Linked DNA regions of Caenorhabditis elegans. The protein of the gene in region 2 purifies or fractionates together with the protein of the main gene of each other region. This does not show direct contact. Each region holds a gene or a part of one and is shown on either strand. Other genes may lie near its edges. The genes, in order: pptr-1, meg-3, mip-2 and mip-1.

The links.
Region 1: the proteins of meg-3 (region 2) and pptr-1 purify together in Caenorhabditis elegans (affinity purification with western blotting; 2 studies listed by BioGRID, with this or other methods). This does not show direct contact.
Region 3: the proteins of meg-3 (region 2) and mip-2 purify together in Caenorhabditis elegans (affinity purification with western blotting; one study listed by BioGRID). This does not show direct contact.
Region 4: the proteins of meg-3 (region 2) and mip-1 purify together in Caenorhabditis elegans (affinity purification with western blotting; one study listed by BioGRID). This does not show direct contact.

What each region holds. Positions count from the first base shown.
Region 1 is NC_003283.11:16,355,672-16,360,533, reverse strand, and holds the start of pptr-1 (Serine/threonine-protein phosphatase 2A regulatory subunit pptr-1), read right to left. Parts: upstream 3,014-4,862; 5' UTR 2,883-3,013; coding exon 2,722-2,882; intron 2,672-2,721; coding exon 2,601-2,671; intron 1,697-2,600; coding exon 1,398-1,696; intron 429-1,397; coding exon 205-428; intron 1-204. UniProt on the Caenorhabditis elegans protein: Probable regulatory subunit of serine/threonine-protein phosphatase let-92 which negatively regulates the insulin receptor signaling cascade composed of daf-2, age-1, akt-1, akt-2 and sgk-1 by promoting the dephosphorylation of akt-1 on 'Thr-350'.
Region 2 is NC_003284.9:1,985,946-1,991,409, forward strand, and holds meg-3 (uncharacterized protein), read right to left. Parts: upstream 3,663-5,464; 5' UTR 3,661-3,662; coding exon 3,603-3,660; intron 3,558-3,602; coding exon 2,036-3,557; intron 1,990-2,035; coding exon 1,879-1,989; intron 1,833-1,878; coding exon 1,686-1,832; intron 1,638-1,685; coding exon 1,503-1,637; intron 1,372-1,502; coding exon 1,082-1,371; intron 1,034-1,081; coding exon 708-1,033; 3' UTR 524-707; downstream 1-523. Other genes in the region: Y40A1A.2 (F-box domain-containing protein), read left to right, coding at 4,789-4,872, 4,925-5,001, 5,048-5,102.
Region 3 is NC_003283.11:13,668,839-13,673,963, forward strand, and holds mip-2 (HTH OST-type domain-containing protein), read right to left. Parts: upstream 3,121-5,125; 5' UTR 3,105-3,120; coding exon 2,980-3,104; exon of another isoform or gene 2,976-2,979; intron 2,933-2,975; coding exon 2,813-2,932; intron 2,760-2,812; coding exon 2,546-2,759; intron 2,498-2,545; coding exon 2,135-2,497; intron 2,088-2,134; coding exon 1,772-2,087; intron 1,727-1,771; coding exon 1,158-1,726; intron 1,115-1,157; coding exon 983-1,114; intron 936-982; coding exon 774-935; 3' UTR 515-773; downstream 1-514. Other genes in the region: DEAD-box ATP-dependent RNA helicase rde-12, read left to right, coding at 33-61; F58G11.4 (MFS domain-containing protein), read left to right, coding at 3,764-3,880, 4,498-4,608, 4,653-4,788, 5,053-5,125.
Region 4 is NC_003281.10:4,791,411-4,795,969, reverse strand, and holds mip-1 (HTH OST-type domain-containing protein), read right to left. Parts: upstream 2,885-4,559; 5' UTR 2,865-2,884; coding exon 2,746-2,864; intron 2,696-2,745; coding exon 2,576-2,695; intron 2,521-2,575; coding exon 2,316-2,520; intron 2,263-2,315; coding exon 1,936-2,262; intron 1,886-1,935; coding exon 1,549-1,885; intron 1,502-1,548; coding exon 1,397-1,501; intron 1,347-1,396; coding exon 1,096-1,346; intron 897-1,095; coding exon 690-896; 3' UTR 547-689; downstream 1-546. Other genes in the region: Protein mel-28, read right to left, coding at 3,686-3,724, 3,774-3,911, 3,957-4,184, 4,261-4,559.

The DNA.
Region 1 (4,862 bases), on a different chromosome or scaffold from region 2:
TTTCACAAGTTTTCGGTATTTTTCAAAGAAAAATCACAAATTTTCACCCAAAACACCACAAATATGACAATTTTAATATCAAAAATTGCAAAAATGGTCCAAATCCATGAATTTTTGCCGAAAATTGAGCTTTTCGTTGCAATTTTCTCATTTTTAAGCCATTTTTTAGCGATTTTTCAGCGAAAAAAAAAATCCAGTATTCACCTCAAAAACATATTATTGATATGTTTGCGAATAAAAGCCCGAAGGCCCAAAAATTTTCCGTAAATACGATGAAGAACCGTCTTCAAAAAGTCTCGTTCACGTGGATCCTCCGAATCGAATAAATCGAGCAGCTTGAGCACAAATCTCTGATCAATATACTTTTTACCGATTGAAGCTTGGAAATCTGGCGACTCAAGGAATCTCAGGAAGAGCTCGTAGACAAGCTGCAAAATTCGTTTTTTTTTTTTTGATTTTAGGGCAGTTTTTCCAATTTTCAGTGAATTTTTGCAGATTTCTGATGATTTTAAGCATCTTTTAGCTCCCAATTTGGCCAGAAAATGGCCTAAAAACTCAAATTTTGTCGACTTTTCTGAGTTTCAGGTGAAATTTGGCCATAGAAGACGGAATTTCATAACAAAATTCATTAAAAACCGCTCAAAATCTCGAAAAATTACATATTTTCAGCTGAAATTTCAAATTTTGCCAACTTTCCAGGTTTCACAGCGGTCGGAAATTGAGAAATTGGCGATTTAGGCTGACATTCGACGAATTTTCAGCATTTTTTGATGGCCCGGAGCCATTTTGGGTATAATAGAGCAAAAATTGATTTTTTTAAATAGGGGTCTTTTGTAATAAAAATAATCAAAAATTGCTGAAAATTCCGAAAAATGGTCGAATTTCAGCCTAAATCGCCAATTTTTTAATTTCCGACCGTTGTGACACCGGGAAAGTTGGCAAAATTTGAGATTTCAGCTGAAAATGTCATTTTATGAGCTGTTGAGCGATTTTTAATGAATTTTGTTATAAAATTCCGTCTTTCGATGCCTTTCTCGGTCCAAAAAGTGGCCAAATGCCATCTGTAACACGGAAAAGTTGAGAAAATCAGAGTTTTTAGGTCATTTTGTCAATATTTTTTGATGCACTGGGGCTATTTTTGGTATATTGGAGCAAAAAAACGCGGTTTTCTGCTATAATTTTCAGATTTTCGATGTTTTCAGGATGTATCGGGGTTTTTTTTTGCCAAAAGGAAAACTAATAATTTTCCAGTCGAAAAAGTCAATTTTTTGGACCAAAAATTAGTGAAAAATGCACTTTTTGCTCTATTTTTCTGAAAATTGCATTTTTTTTTCGATTTTTTTTTGTCATTTTTCGGCTTCCTGGAGCCATTTTCGGGTTTTTCTTGCATTTCCAACCTGTAAATGTGGCCACGAGACTTCTAAAGTCGGTTCATCCTCTTCTGGATCAAATTCACAATTTTCTGATGGTGGAAGTACACGGAATATATTCTTGGCAACCATTTTAATGACAGCCGGATAAATTGTCTCAACAATTGCTCCTTTTGTCGATGTAATGTGATCGATGAGCTCATTTAGAGCTGCTCTTTTGATTTCTTTGCATTTCAGTTGAGCTACTGGATCATAGAAATCGAATACGTGCTGACATTGGACGAGCTTTTCGATAACGAGAGCCGGTTGCTCATTTGCAGCAGTATCTGGAAAAATTGAAGTTTTTAAAGATTTTTAGCGGTAAAATTGATTTAAAAGGCTCAAAATAAATTCAAATTTCGATAAAAATGGCGAAAATCTCAAATTTTGCAGCAGCAATTGAATTTCTTTTAAAAAATTGATGATTTAGGCCTTTTTTCGGGGTTTTAGCAGGGATTTTCGGCAAATTTTCACTGAAAAACCCGACAATTTCGGCTCAAAAAAAAACCGACAATTTCGGCTCAAATATTCTGAAAAAAGGCTAAATTTGAAATCGGCAATTTTTGCAGATTTTAGAGATTTCAGACGGCGTTTTTCAGAATTTTAGTTCAAAATTTGGCTCAAAAAGACCAAATTTTCTTAGTTTTGGGTTCAAAATTATCCGATTTGTCAAAAAATCTTTTAAAAAAAAGACTAAAAACTCCATTTTTACGAATTTGCAGCGACCGAAAATCGATTTTCATCGAAATATTCCTTTATTTTGAAGATTTTCGCGATTTCTAACGCGTTTTCCCGTCGATGTAGGTAAATTTTCACGAAATAATGTAAAAATACAACATAAAAAAGTTGATTTACTTGAAAATAGTGTAAGTTTTCGTTAAAAACTTTAAAAAGAATCACAAATTTTGTATAAAAGTCGAAATTCACACTTTTGGGACAATTTCCGACAATTGTAGGCTATTTTCCAACTTTTCAACGAAAATTATCCTAATTTTCAGGCCAATCGAGCATTTTTCAACATTTTTTCACTAAAATTAGCATTTTTGGACATTTTCCCTGAATATTTGCCTGGAATCGACTGAAAACTGCCAAAATCTGCGGCAGGGTGGCAAAATGCGAGTTTTTCGCTATTTTTTACTCAATTCTTCGAAATTTTTTCGGTTTTTCATCTAGAAAATCCAAAAAAATCACCTTTGATGAGCGCCAATTGTACGAGTTCTTGAGCCGAATCAACATTATATCGGCTGCTGTTGTTGATGCGCCTGAAAATATCGGGAAAAATCGATAAAAATAAATTAAACCAGCCACTCACAATCGTCTAGAAGTTCCTCTTTTATTATGGAACGGATCGATTTTATCAACAAATTGATTAGCTGTCGCCGAGAGTTGTTGGCCACCGGTGGCGGCTCCCTGTGTCCGTGGCGGCGGAATTTGATGCGGAGCGCCCGTTAGACTGTGCCCGCTTCCGTGCATTTTTTTTTTTGATTAAAAGAATTTATCTTCTTCAACGTCTTCTCGCCCTGGTTGTGTTCGAGCGAAGTGTTGAAACTTCGTGTAGGAGGGAGCAGAGAAGCAGACGGCGAGAGAGAGATTTCTGGGCGCTTCTGCAAAATGTATATATATATATATTGATTTTTTATTGCGAGAGAGTGAGAGAGAGAGGGTTTTTATTAACGCGGAATGGTGTAAAAGAGATAGGCAGTGGTTATCGAAATTATGATAAGAAGAGAGTGAAAGTAAATGGCAATGTAGGTCGACAAGTGATCAGATTCGGGAATAAAATGTATTGAAATGGGTTTTATTTAATTTTATTCAATTTTTAACCGAAAAAAACGCAGGAAAAACGCTCAAATTGTAGACAAAACATCGATTTAACGTAAAAAACAAATTAAAAAACGAGAAAATCTCCGATTTACATTGGAGCGCACTTACTGATCGGTGGTTTGCCGCGTTTTTTCTAGTTTTTAAAGCTTCCTTGTGGTAAAAATTTGCAAAAATGCCTTCATTAAATGAACAAAGCAATGGGCAATGGGGCCAATACACAGAAAAAGTGAAATTTTGAGAACTATCACAAAATTGATTAAAAAAACCATTTAACAAGAAAAACTAGATTCAAATTCCCGCTCCGCAAATTTATCAATGGAGCACGCTTGCGAATTTGTTTTTTATTTGTTTTTTTAGATGGAAAAACTGAATTTCGTCGAAATTTAGTTGAAGTTTCAGAGTTTTCAGCGTAAAAACTGCTTTAAAAATTAAAAAAAAATAAAACAACCGAAAATTCTGTATTTCTTGCTGGTTTGCTCACTTTTAGCGATAACCGCGGGGAAAATTGATAAATTTTGAGAGAGGAGTGACAGTTTTTGCTGGTGTAAAAATGTGCCAAAATAAACGAATTTCGTTTAATTTTACCTATGGCGGTTGAAAATATCGATAAAACTGGGCATTTTTATCTAAAATCCAGCTGGAAAACTAGCTTTGCCAATTTTTCGTGTCGGAAAAAATTTTAATTTCCTACCGCTACGACATATAAATTTTTGGAAAAATCGAAAATTTTGTCTAATTTTTAAAAATTATCAAGTTTTTTCGAAATTTTGAACTTCGAGGTCTGAATTAAAAAAAAGAAGCCTCCATAAAAAATTTCGGGAAATTTAAGAGTAGTCTCATTACAAAATTCGTTTATTTGAGCGCATTTTGAGTCTAAAAAAGCAAAATCCTTTAATTTTTCATGCGCATGACCTACGCAGTTCGCGCATAAATTATATTTTATTCCCTACAAAAAACACGAACAATGTTCCAAATCGCTTAATAAATTCAGTGAAAAAGTTGAAAAAAAGAGACAAAAAACTCTCGCTCTCACACGAGGTATAAACGTCAACGTTTTGTTGTCTTCTCTCACTCTGCCCAGCCACAGAGAGAGTTAGTTGATCGAGAGAAAAAAGACAATCTCTCACCCGATGAGCGCCGTTTGTGAGCGGCGCGAGCAGAGTTCGTGTGCATTCCGGAGTGCACAGTGATGCAGACACTGAGAAGACGTCGAGAGACGCAGACACGTCGTGCGCACTCGCGCACGCATTTGCACACGGAAAGGCCGGAGAGTGTGGGAGACCGAGAGAGAGAGAGAGAGAAGTAAAGGAATAATATACGCACACAGGCCATCACAGGCCACTGGAGACGACGGAGACGTGAAGAAAATGAAGAGGAGGGGCAGTTTATGGGGGTGGAAGTAAATACGGGGAGAAAAAGTGAGAATTTGCACAACTTTCAGATGAATAGAAAAAGCTTAATTAAAACGCAAACTTCTGAAACTTTTACCTAAAGGCGCAGAGGCTTAGTGGGATGGGTCTCGCCGCGAAAGCAAAGTTTATAGTAGCACTGATATCTAAAAAATGGAAGAAATTACACAAAAAATTAGCCGAGAAATAATTGATTGAAAATTAGAGAAATGACTTAAAA
Region 2 (5,464 bases):
CTTTTAGATTTTTTGTGTGAAGCATCTCTGAATCAAGAGCATTCTTTGAACTTTAAATTTTACTTGATAACTAATGAGTCCTCCGAGAAAAACATGAAAAACCCTGAAGCGTGCCTACTTGTCCGCCATCGTTGGTGCGTTTCCGAAACTTGTGAAGGCCTGTAGCAATGCGGACGGTGATATTTTCGAATTCAAAAATGGTATCTTATTTAGTTTTTCTCGGAGAACAAAACCTATATGATTATTTGTTTAATGTGTTTTTTGTTTTGGTTTTATGAAGCTTCAAAGTAGTGCGCATAATTATGGCCCACCCTGTATTAAAAAACGGAACTTTTCCAAACAAATCTGAAGCATCTGTTTTAAAATTGAATCCGTGACTACTATTTTGCCTAATGACAGTATTTAAATTTCACAAAAAAGATCTATGAGAAGATATGTATATTTTCAAATCAGTTACCAATCATCTTTTCTTAAATCTATTTCGAACTTTTCTTTTATTCTAGTTCCACTCCAAATCTTAAAGAATCGGCAATTCTTTATCAATCATCCAGACAACAATATAATACTACCCTCTACAAGTATCTGGGTAGACATAATACAAATTCACAAGGAGAAGCGAGTTGAAATATAACAAGAGTGGATAAAGGGTTAATGAACAAGAATAACATACAATATAGTCTACAAGTAATAGATATAAATTGGTACAATCATTGATCTCTGGGTGGGTCAAAAATAGATTCCAGCCAATCCCGTTTTACATTCAAGTATTTGATAGGATCCGATTTCCGAAGATGTGCAAGTAAACACGCATCAGCAATTGCGATGATATTCTTCTGTCCGATACACTCCTTCCACAACATGTAGAGCATATTGGTGGAGTCTGTGGAGCTGCTCGTATCGTCCAGCCGAGCCTGAACAAACGTGGCAGCAATCTCTTGCATAACTGCAAGCTGGTGAGGATTTCCTAAGCAGGCTTCAGCAAAACGGAGGAACCATTTTCTGAACATATTTCGCACAGGTGGAACTCTTGGATCTGAAAAAATTAAAGTTTTCAAGATTAAATATGTCTTATCTTTCTTACCATCGGCATAAGGACCATCCAATCTTGGAATTGTCTCGGTGCAAAAATAATTCAAGTACAGCCATCTTTCAGGTGACATCCCGTGAATATTCAAATTCACTTTCAGGAGTTGTGTCTTTTCTTTGTAGTTAGTATCAATGTAGTCGTTAAAGTCTTGCTGAGCTTCCAGGAATGCTGTCAAGCTTTCAGAAATGCGAGGTGGTGGCGAGGTTGAAGCTGGATCTTGAGTGCAATCTTGAGAAGGATATTCGATCCGATCGGCTGATTCACAAGGAAGTGGAGCCGGATCACTGAAAGAAATTTACTGTACTCAGAAAATAATTTTACAGGATTTGAATCAAGTTTTGAGCTCAATCTTTTCAGCTTGTACATTATTTTCCATATGCTTGATCGATAGCGGATTTATTAACTTGGACCTTACCTGGTGATTTCGAAGGGCCATTTCCCAGCTTGATTGTATACTTCAGCTGCACGAATTTCACAATTGATTCCACTTCTCTTCGGAGTTGGGCAACCATTACAATCCGTGGAAACTGGAATTCCGGTAATGTAAGAGCTGGAAAAGAAAATATGGAAATGTTGTTCGTTTTTTGTAAAGTCATACCTTTCCAGCGCCACAACCTTTGGAGTCAACTTTTGAGCAATTCGCTTTCCTGAAGCTGTTTCTTTTCCAGAAACTGTGACGGAATACATTGGTGATTTTGTAGCTTTAGAATCAACCACGCCAAGTGACTTGTTCAACTTTGAAGACCTGTAAAAAATATAATGAAATAAGAAGCTCCAAGTGTAAAACTAACTTGCTGGATGATGTCAGACATCTTTCTCCGATCAAAGCCTTTGGAGTTGGGATGATTGACGAGGAAGGTGTTCTCTTTACATCCACATTGTTCCGATTGATCTGATCCTTGCTGAAATTTAAATTTTTACTAAAGATTTTACTATTTCACTACATACCTTGAGGAAGCACGATTTGCAGATTTCGGCATCTCAGGGTCCCCATGAAGTAAACGTCTCATTTCCTCAACGTTGGCATCAAAAGTTCCTGTCCACTTTCTTCTTGAGATCTTTGGAGGAGAACTCGGCTGTGGACTTGGCGTGGGTTCCTCGTCTTCTTCAACAGTTTCCAGTGTCACATCAAGACTGGCCAGACGGGAGGCACTACGAGAACTTCCACGGCGCTTGATCGACAGTGAAGTTTTCTTGGGAAGACTCACTGGTAGGGTTTGGTTGTTAGCATCCACAAAACTGGAGTCAAAGTCTTCACCAATTGAGCAATTTAGATCACTTGCTGGTAATGTCCGATTCAAATTGCTGCATTCTCCATGAGAGCTGGAAGGCAAGTGAATCTGTTGTCCGATCTTCATGCTGACAATTTCCAATAACTGTTCAATGGAGAGTTCAGTGCCGTCCTTGCTGAATACATTGGATACCAGGTTACGTTTAGCCGCTTCTTCAGAAGATTTGCATTTTTCAGTCAATTGTTTACTGCCTGCATTCTGCTTTGAATAAGTCGATTGTTGAAGTTTCTTAGTGACTGATCGAGATCTCCGACCACGGGCAGCATCCATGGAATCGTCTATGAACACATCGTCAGTTAATTCATCGTCATTTGTGTTGAAGTAAGTACGATCCTGGAAGTTGCTGCTACCACGTGATTTTTTTCTGTCGTTTCTTGATTTCTGTTGTTGATTTTTCATCGATGAGGTTTCATGTGTAGGAAATCCAGAGAAGCTCTGGTTCAAATTCCGCGACTTAATAGCATCGTGCTTTTGGACAAGACTAGAATTGATAACCTCCTTTCCAGATGCATTTTTATTGTCCTTATGGCCTTTTTTAAAAGCGTGTCCATGAACTCCAGCTTGAGCGTTGAAGCTTTTATTTCCAAGACATTGCTGGTGAACATTGGTTTGTCGCAGTTTCTTAGAATTATTTTCTTGCTTCTGGAACCCAACGGGAACGGAACTCACACTGAATGACTTATTCCCAGCGTGACCATAATTGTTCGAACCATCCGAGAAGCTTAGGCCATGTTGTCCATTCTGACGACTTCTACTACGTCTTGTGTTTGATTGCTGAACGTCGTCCTGATCTGTGGATACTGGGAATCTTCGTTCATACCAGCTGGAGCTATTGCGTGTTTGCAAGTTGCGGCGGAAGTCTGCAGAGAAGACGGGGGCCGTAGGAGGAATACTGTTAAAGGCGTTGCTGCCGTTTCCTTGAGCTGCATGCATCGACTGATTGAATACTCGACCATGTCGAGTCATCGAGTGATTCAGCTGTTGGCCATTCATGAATGTATTCCCGTTGAATGATACGGATCCGTGATGAGATATCCCCGATTTTGCACCATATTCACGGCTTGTTGACTGAGCACTGTCTTGTTTTGCGATCGGATTGAACAATTCGTCAAGAGTGATTTGGTGTTCCATGTTGTTGGATGCACTTTCCTGATTGCTACGACTACTTGAGCGGCGACCTGAATTTACAAATTGAATGAAAAATTGATGCAAAAAACTCTCACCTCCTCTTTTTCTTCTCGAGTTTGGCAGACCGCTTGGGTAAGGTTTTGAGGAACTCATACCTGCAAAAATCAAAACTTAATGAAATATTGAAATAAATGAAATTTAAAAAAATACAACGAAAAAGAAAGACAGAGATGAAAAAATGCAAACCGGTGGGACCACGCAACAAGAATGAACACTTGAGTTAGGGAGATTGAGAGAGTGTGAGAGGTAGAGAAAGAGCGCGCGGAAATAGTGTGTGGCGAGACGGACAGGGGCGATGCGTGCGCGCGGTGAAAAAATAGTTCAAATGCGGCAGGGAATCAACAAAACAACACACACCGTTTGCATGGTATCGATCAGTTTTCAAGACTATCCAAGACTATGGAGTTTTGAGGAACAATTGGATTGATAGTTAATTCTCTAAAATATTGGATAATCACTGAATAATAAATGAGAAGAATAAATTTATAAAAAGAAACAGGATAATAGGCAGTAAAGGAGATGTTAATTAGAAAACCTGTAAGCGAAAAATCAAAACTAAAATAATTTTTTATCTCAAACTTTTTAAAAGAAACGGCGGAACATAATCCTGAATTCCTGAAAACGAGATGTAAAGGGTCGTTAAAATAGCTCCAAAAACGGATTTGTGCAGAGTTTTGAAATTTTTTAAAATTATTTTAATATAGGAATACTAAGTACCTGGAAAGTAATAAAAACTGCTTTATATAGAACATTGAAATCTTTTGTTTTTTAACATAAATTTTAAAAAATGTTTGGATATCCCAAACTAATAAGGATTCTTAACATTATTAATTCATAAAAATATGAAAAAATGTCTATTCAAAGGATTTTTTTTGATCGAAGACTTCTAAAAAGTTACAAAAACTGAGAATCTTCAAGTAGAAATTTGGTATTCCTTGGGACTTCAGATTATTCATATTTTATTTTTCAAATTATTCTCGATGGTTTTTTAATTTAAAAAACAACTCATCGACATTGATGCTTTCAAACAGGATAGATCTAATGTTACTAATTTCCTGCTACTATAGCTACTGCTACATTGTGCACAATGTATGATGTCACACACTTGGAGGATTTATAACCACTTTCTATGTATCGATTATACCATTTAGACGCTCGCCTGCTCCGTTAGTCTGCTCAGTGTTTTTTTTTTTCGATTACATATTTGAGTTACCATTTGGTATGAGCTCCTTTATTTCACAACTCTCCTCATTTATTTGTCTGAGATTTTTTAAACGTCGAGGTATCAGGACCCCGTCAAACAAGGCAAGAACATATGTATTTTACAGTTTTTCGTTTAATTTTATTGATTTTTTAGATTCAACCCTTTCACCTACTTGGTTTACCGTATCCTGCATTTCGGAATATTATACATCAATTGAAGTTGACTGAAGTGTGAGTTGAAGTAGGTTTTAATTATCTAAATGTCTATTGTTTTCAGAATAGAACTATCAAAAAATTCTGGTGAAACCAGATGTAGATTTAAAAAAAATTAATCGAAAAATCTACAAACTTCTTATCGACAACCGTGTTTTCCATGTTGATCTACCACCATTCCGAAATCCTAGTGATTTATTTTCAAGCAAAGTGATTGCTATAGAGACTTCAGAAGACATGTATTATCCTTTTAAGTCTGGTAAACTACTGACTTTAAGATATCCAAACCTTTTTTCAATCAGCATTACCAACTTTTGCATCTCTACGTTTTGGTAATTTTTTGATTTTTCTGCTAGTTTTTTCTCAAACATGTGTGATTTGTTTAGTCTGAATGACCTTAAACATTTGAAAACTTTCAAAAAGTTTTTACCTAACCATGTTTTAACATTTCACGGTAGTTCAAAAATTTTAGACCGGAGGG
Region 3 (5,125 bases), on a different chromosome or scaffold from region 2:
CGTTACTATTTTATATGAAACTTTCTTTTCAGCCGATGGCAACGACGACGACGAGTGGTAAAATCTACGCGACGTCGTCATTATTATTTGATCTCGAGAGATCTTTTGTTTAATAGAAACATTTCGAGACATCGCTTCACACCATTCTATCGTATTTTCGTAATTATCAATTCTGGCATGATCAATCAGTCAATTGAACATGGTGATTTATGTGATGTCTCGAAAATTTTCAAATTCACGACACCGCATTCTTTTATTTGTTTTGTAAATCTTCTGTTAAGTATTGTTTCCGATCCCGATATTTACTTACTCGTATTCCGTATTCCACCGTATCCCCGTACCTTATTTTGACTATCTATTTCTTTATGAATTTTGTATTCAGTACCTATTAAATACAGTTCTGAATTTTTTAACGGGGAATTTTGTTTAAAATAAATCTCAATGTTGGAAATGTAATTGTTTCAACTAGGGAGTACAAGAACAGCGTTATAAGTATTTAGAAGGAAGTATTCTTGAGAAAAATAATTTATTTTGGACGTTAAAGCGGAAAGTCAATTCTACATGATAATAAACCAAGGGACTTATTCTCCATTTAATTGTGAATAGAGAAAACGATACATTTAAAAATTTTTAAAAAGATTGTCGGCACTAGTATTTAGTGTGATAAAAACGAAAATAGCGAAAATGGTTCAAAATTCAGATATAAATACTAACGAAAAATATTCAAAAAAAACATAAATATTATAAAATACGTGTCAGGAGCACTGCTTCAACTACGCCTGGGAGATGTTCGGCGAGAAATCGGAGTTCAGCGACGGTGGAAACGAGGACGCTGACGAATGGCATAATACAACACGAGAACGAGGCCGTATTTTCACACCCGCTCCTTTTGACATTGGTGGCAGCAAGACGGTAAACGGTTTGGGTGGACTCTTCTGAAAATTTAATATATTAACAAGAGTTTTCTTCTTATATACTTTACCTCGACTTTCTGAACGACTTGAGCACCCCAGCCATCATCTGAAACATTGCTGGCTGCATGCGAAGAAGAGCCCATGCCGAGACGAGGTGAAGGTGAAGGTTCTGGCTGCTCATTGAAAGCTTCTTGCTCTACCTATAACAATATAAGTAAAATGAGAGAGGACAACAATTTATACCTGTTCTCGTTGTCTCCTAACTTCAGCGAGAGCCTGTCCAAGGGTTCTAACTGGAACCACTTTCTTGACACATTGATTAGGATTTACCCTGACACGTTGAAGGTTGATTGATGAACTTGGGCGCTGCACTTGAGCAACAACATTTAAGCTGGCACGGCTTGCCATATTTCTTTGGACTTCAAGATTTTGTTGCATCAGAGCTTTCGCACGTGCATCAATCATTTGTGGAAAAGCTTTCAGCGATGCATAAACATTGACTAACATGACATCAGTCTTCTTCAAAGCTTTGAGTTGCAGAAGCTCTTTTGAATCGTATTTCAGGCCTTCTTCGTTCAGCTTTTCCGGGACAACGGTTGAAGAAGAGGAAATTGAAAGGACTGATGGAACTGATTGTCGACCGAAGATACAAGAAGTGCTCTGCACTCTTTCAACGATAGAATCAGCTTTCACGGAGCTTGGAGCGTTGCCGAATCTCTTTGTGACAATTTCTCGGTGATTTTTTGGAATAAATGGCATCATGTCACTTTTGCTTGCTTCCTTTTTGCTCTTTCTGGCATTCAAAGTAAGACCTGAAAATATTCTTTGTTAAAATATAAGGAATTTTAATAACTCACCGTCCAGAGACTTAGAGATTGAAGCCAGGTCAGCTTTCGGCTTTGAGTTAGGATCCTGGTATCTAAACCCTTGTGATATTGGTAGCTGAGCAACAGTTGTAGCTTCAACTTTGCGAGAAGGCAACTCAAGCACCGATTTGGTTGTTGTTCCTTGATCAGCTAGCCACTTTTCCCTCAACGAAACTTCTCCATCAATAACTTGTAGAAACTCTTTGAATGTTGTCTTGGCCATAAGCATCCAGCTTTTGCTGAACAACAATAGTGGATCTACGGGTGCACCGAATTCCCTCTCATAGAGTTCTGTCATCTCGGAGAGCTGAAATTAAATACTTATACGAGAGTACAACTAAACTTTTAACTTACGTGAACAGAAGCTGGAAGCTCCTTCACCATCATACGCTTCGTATTATTCATGAACTCCGTGATGGTTGGCATATGAGACGAGCTTGAAGATGTTTTAATTTGCACATGCTTCTTGACAGGTGATCGACTTCCACTACGAAGAATGAAGATTGGAATCGAAGACGCAGTTGATGGGCGCATGAGAGGGCGCTGAATGGATGGAGCTACAGGCGGATTTGTTGGATTCGCATTTGAGCCACTCGACTTTCCAAACGTAGAATCATGATTTCCTGTTCCGAAGGATTGGATTGCCGAGGAAGTGGATGCTTTAGATGACGACAACACCGAGAAAGGACGAGAAGGTTGCCCGAAGTTTTGGAATAACTGAAAAATTCTCTTGACATTTAAATCTTTCTATACATCTTTTAGAACCTTTTTAGACGCTGCTTTTCCAAAGGAAGCATACGAACGAGGGCGACAACTGGAATATCGTGGCGATCTCGACAGCTCTCCTCCAAACATAGATCGTTGATGATATCCAGCAGAAGATGACGAACGTCTTCCTCTTTTTGAAGAACCTTTATTCCTAGGTCCGTCGCTCTGCTTCGAGATCAAATCCACAAGATCCTGATTGTCCTCGTTTGCGCTAAAATATTAGTTTTGACAGGTTAGAAACGCGAACGATAAATCGGAACGTACATGATCTTGAATTTTCCCTCGTAAGTTTGCCGTACATCCGGATGCTCGATCAGAATTTGAGCCATGTCGTAAACACCAGCCAAGTGATATTTCGAGCAGTAGTCATATCCTAATGTGTCGCTGAAAATTACAGTAAATTTAAATTCACACCACTCGGATCAACTAACTCCATTCTTTGCTCGACCTGCTTCGGTGAGGCTCCATCTTTGAAAGAAAGAAGAACACTATAAGCGTCCCGTTCGATGCGCTTACGCATTTTGTTCATTTTTTCTTTGCCTTCTTCTTCAGACATTTTTCAGGCAAATGCTGGAAACAGTAAAACAATCAGTTGAATGACTTTAAATATTCAGAAAACGGAAATCTGAAATAACGAATACAAAAAAATGATTTAAAACTTAAAAATGTCAAAATCGTGGCAGAAGTTTCTAGAAGTGAACACGAAAACAATCCACGTACTGCGCACACCGTTCCACGCACAAATGCACATTCAGGTCTCTACCGTAGTTCAGTCCAATTCGCAGGCCTGGAAAAATTTCAAAATGCGAATACATGTTGGTTGTTGAAATTTTTTTGGATTCGACTTATAAATTAGCTTCAGTAAATATAAAACTACTTTTTAAGATATTATTTTATAGAAGGCTCATCATATTTCGTATTGTGACTGCAGTTCACCGGAAAAGTACAAAACAAATCACTCCAACCGGTATGCGTCCACTCTGATAATATTATTGAGTTTTGTGTTGGAAAATTGATCTTTCTATCAAAATTATGTAAATCTCTTCCTCTTGTTTCTTCAAACATTTGTGGTCTTCCAACGACACATCTATTTTGCGGCATTCTCTATTTCAGCTGTCAGTTGACATTTTATTAGCATCTATTATATAAAAGTTCTTAATTTTAACTGTACATGAACGTTTTTTAATAGAATCTATATAAATTTTCAGTCAAAAAATGCGAATAATCATTGAGACTTCTTGGGATGTGGTATATCTTTGTGGATACTTTTCATTAGTTGTCTACTTTCAATATGCCATTTTTACCACTATTATGTATACTTATATGACAAAAGTATGTGAATATATATTTTTCAAAATTTTATCGGAAAATCAATTTTTAAAATGTTTTAATTAAAATAAAGTAATTCAGTATGTGCCAGAAAAATAAATATGACCAAGCTTGCAAGAAATGGGCGGATCCTTTTTTGAAGCATTTTGTAATAAAAATGTTGATTCTTGATTCGAAACGGGCTAGACGATGTCATGAATTTGCAAGGTTTTAGAAAAATATGAATAAAATCGCAGTGAAATCTTCAAAAAGAACTAGTTTTAGAACTGCCAACTGCCAAATGAGTTATTTTTAACTTAAAAATAGTGACTTTGAAGCACTATCTCAGCAGAATGGTTTGGAGTCTAATTAGAGAGAACCCTGTCTAATCTTAATTTTCCCCAGTCTAAATAGATGAAAATCGAGTCAAATTTGAAACACGCGAAAAGCGAATCTAATTAGAAGCGGGACGAGTCAAATTAGATAAAAACCCTGTTCGATTTAGGTTCGATTAGTTCTGCTCCGCATTCCGATTAGCTTCGCTTTTCACATAATTAGACTCCAAACCATTTATCTGAGATTAAAGTTCTTTATTTCTATAAGTACATTTCAAAGTTCTATAAAAATCCTCACAATTTCAGCTCGACCCATCAGTTGGTCCTACGTCATTTGGTTTGGCAGTGACTCTTCATGGAATTGGTCATTGCCTTGGAGCACTCGCAGCAGCATGGTGGACTAAAAAACGGTATAAGGTAAATACATTAAATAGTTAAAAAACTTTTAAACAAATGTTCAGGGCAAAAAACCAATGTGTGTTGGATATCTTTTAATGTTACTTTCCAATTGTCTATTCCTCTTGGCTGATCATGTTCCAGCAGAAACTAGTGCATTCTACATTATGTTGTGTAGATTTTTAGGTGGTCTTGGAATGGGTAAGTCGTTATGATTGCTTTATTTCTAATTCAAATAGTCTCATAGCAGCTATTTTTGTATTTTTGTAACTATTTCAAAGATTTCAAACGTGGTTTTAATATTTCATTTAGCAAAATTCACACATCAAGCTTGGGTCGAATCAGAAAAAGTAAAGTGGTTCCACATTAGAAATGATAAATTGATATTCAAATTTAAAAAAAAGTATTGAACTCGCCGACTACTCCGAAAAGTAAATATATCTAGCTAATTCTCAAATTCTCTAGGAAATACGTCAACTTTACGTACAACCCTAACTGCTCATTCAATGTCCGATGATCGTGCAAAAGCAATGTCAGT
Region 4 (4,559 bases), on a different chromosome or scaffold from region 2:
GCCAAATTGAAAAACTATTCACTAGACAGCATAGAAATATAATATTCTCTTAAAAATCAATATTGGAGAACATTTTTGGATAAGAATTCTTTTACCCTTAAGGGTCAATCTTATATAGCGCGTCGTTATCCAGAGCACTTTTTGTCTCTATGTTTTACACCGTTCGTTGATGTTATCTCATCTTCAAAACGAATTTCCTGCAGTTTCTTAGTCTCTATAGTGCCACGTTTTGCGTGCGCGTAGAATAATAAATTCATGTTTTATGGGTCTGTCTGTGTGCACAAGCCGACCGCCCCAGTTTTCCCCCATATTCGAACATCGTTTGATGCCAATCTTGACATGGCAGAGAAATAGGAAACTGAATGCATTGGGGAAGAGAAAAAGAGAAACTGCATTTCGCTTTCAATTATTTGAGTGGCCCGTCGGAAGAGCTCTCACAGCTACTCTACAATTTTGCATCTAAAGGGGTCACGCTATTTAAGCTAACAAATATTTTTTCATGTTTCAGAACACATTTTTCTTAATTATGCGAAACAAGAATAGAATGCACCGGAAAAAAAATTTATAGTAAAATTCGTGAATGACTCGCATCCAAAATATAAAAAAAACAATGTTACTATTAAAACTAATTAAAAAATAATTTTACAAAAACACATAAACAGGATATTTTAAAGCACGTAAAATTTCGATCACCAACTATCCTTATCCGACGGCAACGCAGCATTGATAGCTTCTAGACACTCATTATCAATTGAAGATGTAGTCGATTGTTGTGGTGAAAAGTTACGAGAACGTGCCAATCCTGGTCCTTTTGACATTGGTGGGAGAACTACACTTCTAGTCGTGGATGGCACTTTTGTAGAAGTTTTGGCACTCTTTCCAACAATAGAAGCCGCCTGAAATTCATTTAGCTTATTCATCACAGTCGGCATGGTATTTTCTAGCATAGTTAAAAATATTGTTTTTGTTTTAATGAACATAAAAATTGCAGTATTTTAGCAATAAAACAACAAAAAGCTAGTCTTGATCCGAAAACGGAACGATACCGCACTTGGTATATTATAATTAATGGAATCTAGCAAGAAAATTACTCACAATAACTTTTTGGTTTTTAATTTCCGTGAGAGCAAGAGATATATGTCTCCCTGGAATCGACGATCCTTTTTCTATCTGTCTTCCAAAGCTCATTTTTGGCAGTTTCTGATCTGTTGCAGAGGTAGAGGCAGTAGATAATTGCAATGTTGAAGGATTCGAACTACTGGTAGAAGTATCTTCAAGTGATTTGATACACGTAGTTTTCATCACAGGAACAACAAGATCCTTACTCGCTTTCGAAGATGCCAGATCTGATGAATAAAAATTATTAGTTTTTTTTAATGGAAACTTCTGGATTTACCATTTCGAGGCTTATTACTTCCCCGAGCTGTGTTTTTAATCGGGTTAGACACACCAGGAAGATCTTTTGGAGTTCCCATTACGCTACGGGCACTCACTGTGAGTCCTAAAATAAAATATTACAATCTACTAATTATTTTCAAATGTAAATACCTTTCATACTTTCTGCGACAGACACTATCGGACGAACAACTGGTATTTGATACCGAAATCCTTGTGAAATCGGTAAGCTCGATGATGCGACACTTGAAGTGGGCTCATGCAGTGTCGTTGGTTTCTTCTTTTCAGGAGCAGGTGGCATTGATTTCTTTAACGCAGCTCCAAAATTTGTGAACCAGGGTTCCTTCACTTCAACTCGACCGTCTGTTCCGAGTTGCAGCCATTCTTTGAATGAAGTCTTCACGAACATCATCCAGCTCTTGCTAAACAACTGGAGTGGATCAATTGATACATCGAAATGCTTATCGTAGATTTCGGTCAATTCAGAGAGCTGTAATATGAAAAATCAGTTGCAATTTGCAAATGTTGAAAAAAATTTACATGGACATCAGCAGGATATTCCAGAAGCATCATGCGCTTAACGTTGTTCGAAAAATCAACGATCGAAGGCATACACTTCGAGTCAATCCCGGGTTGCAAAACTGGAACAGCCACTGTAGACGACAGTCTTTGAACAACGGTTACAGGTTGACGTAAAAGAGGACGCTGAGCAGTCGCACTAGGAGCAATTTTGACCGGACCAACAGTGGTGCTTCTCGTTGTATGATGTGAATAAGCTGATCTATTTGCGAAACTAGAGTGACCAGTTGCAGTGGAAGGGCGGACAGGTGGGTGTCGAACGGTATTGCGATACCCAGTTGCTTGTGGCTGCAATATTATTATGTTAATCTTGAACATAGTTTTTTTTTTTCAATTTGAACCTTTGCCGGGTTCGCTCTGGCAGATGAAGCTGGATACATAAATGAGGGTTTCGGTGAGCGCAAGTGAGCTGCATATCCGAATCCACTTTTATTATGGAATCCCATAGACGTAGCTGCACGAATGGGCTTTGCACCTTTTCCACCTTTCTTTTTTTTCTTCTGCTTTGAGATCAGATTGATTAGGTCTTGATTGTCCTCATTTGCGCTGAAAACGAATGTATTGAGTTTTGACTCGAATAAGAGCAATATATATTTCTCACACAACACTGAAAACTCCGGATAAATTTTGTCGTACATCTTTGTGCTCTCGCAGAAGTTGAGCCATATCTCTCACACCAGCCTGTACATATTTTCCAACATATGTGTAGCCAAGCGTGTCGCTAAATAGTTAATACATTAAATTTGAGAAATAATGCCGCGAAACACAAACTCCATTCTCCTTTCTACTTGATTTGGGGTCGCTCCTTCCTGGAATGATAGCAGAACACTGTACACGTCGCGCTCGATGCGCGCGCGTATTTTCTTCTTGGGATCGTCAGCTTCCGTCATTTGCCAAGTGAATGTCACTTCTGAGAGAACATTTTACAATTTGATCAAGTATTAACGTGAAAAAGATACAAAAATGTTACAGTAAATTGTAAAAAAGACTCAGACCCAGTCTGATGCACGGATAACTAATTTTACAGATGTTTACAATACGTCAAGATCGTCCTTACATGCTAACGTCTATGAACAACGTTAAAATTATTATTTTAACATGAAAATATCATCAAAACATAAAAAAAACAAGCTGTTAACAGAGAACAACTGCGAAGAATCATTTTATTTAGAATGGGTAGCCGAATTTTAGGACAAGCCTTTTGGCGCCACATATTGCGTAGAAATGCACACGCAAATGACTGTTACAGTAACCTTTCGAAAGATTTAAATTAGTTTTTATAAAATTGGATTTTTGCAGTGAAGAATATATTTAACAATGCCGTCTTTTTTCTACACGAAAAAACGTTTTATTGGTGCATTAAAAAACAAAATTAAATAATAATTCATCATTACCACGAGAAATTAGAAAAAATTCTGCAGAGCTTCGTTTTGGAAATTTTTTAAATGTGGTATAAACACCTGTTTCGCATGCTAGGAACAATCGTTCACATTTTCCAGTTAAAATTAAATTATCGAATTTGTTGCTTGAAATTTAAAAACTATAACGCCATCCTGAACTCTCCGTTCTATGCACCTTTATTGCTTTATTTCCAATTCAATGTTAATGCCAAACAATTTTATTGGAACTTATTTCACATGTGTCAGTTGAAGAATTTCAAATAATAAAATAAATAAGGACAAATAGTTAAAATTTGAGCTGTGTTCGACCTCTATTGTTTAGCACGGCGAGCTGAACGCAGTAGAGGAGTCTGAAAATAAAACACCTCGTTTGAGAAATCGTATTGCTGAAAATATTACCGCAGCCGTTTCTTTTCTCTCTTCTTCACCCTCTTCAATATTTTCCAGAACGGTTTTGGGCGGTCTTCCTCTTCCGCGTTTTGGAGTGGTTGGCTCTTCCACCTCTTGTTGTACATCAATAGATGATGCTCGAGATCTCTGAAAATAATAATTTTGAAAAAAAATTATGTTTTGGGATCATACCGTCACACTTCTAGACTGTTTACTGGTACCAGCTTCATTAACCGCGGCATTTTTCTTTTTTGGGGTCTTCTGCTTGCTATCATCATCGATCGATTCGGAATTTGCTCTGGATCTAGCCGTTCGTTTGGAAGACCGTGTAGGTGTGGCTGGTTGTTCGATATCTGGAGAGGATGAACGATCTTCTTCATCTTCTTGATTTTCGAATATCGATTTAGGCTTGGTGCCACGCTGAAACGAAAACAAATCAATTTACAATTTATGAATACAACATTTTTAATTCAAAAAAATAATTAAAAATGCTTACAGCTTTACTTCCAACTTTAGGAGATCCTGCATCCTTTTTGGCGGGTCTTCCTCTTTTTGGCGTCGTCGGTGCCGATTTGTCGTCCTGATTAAAGTCGATCGTTTCCGAATTGCCCCTCTTTCTAGAAGTTGTACGTTTGGTAGAAGCAAGTGCAGATGACGATGGGTCAACAGTTGTATTTTTGACAGATGCAGAGCGAGTGCTTCTTGATGCAGGCCGTTCCTCCTCCGCTTCTTCTTCTTCTTCTTCTTGAACTTCCATTGTAACCTCTAGCGGGGATGGCATCTTTTGGATGATCG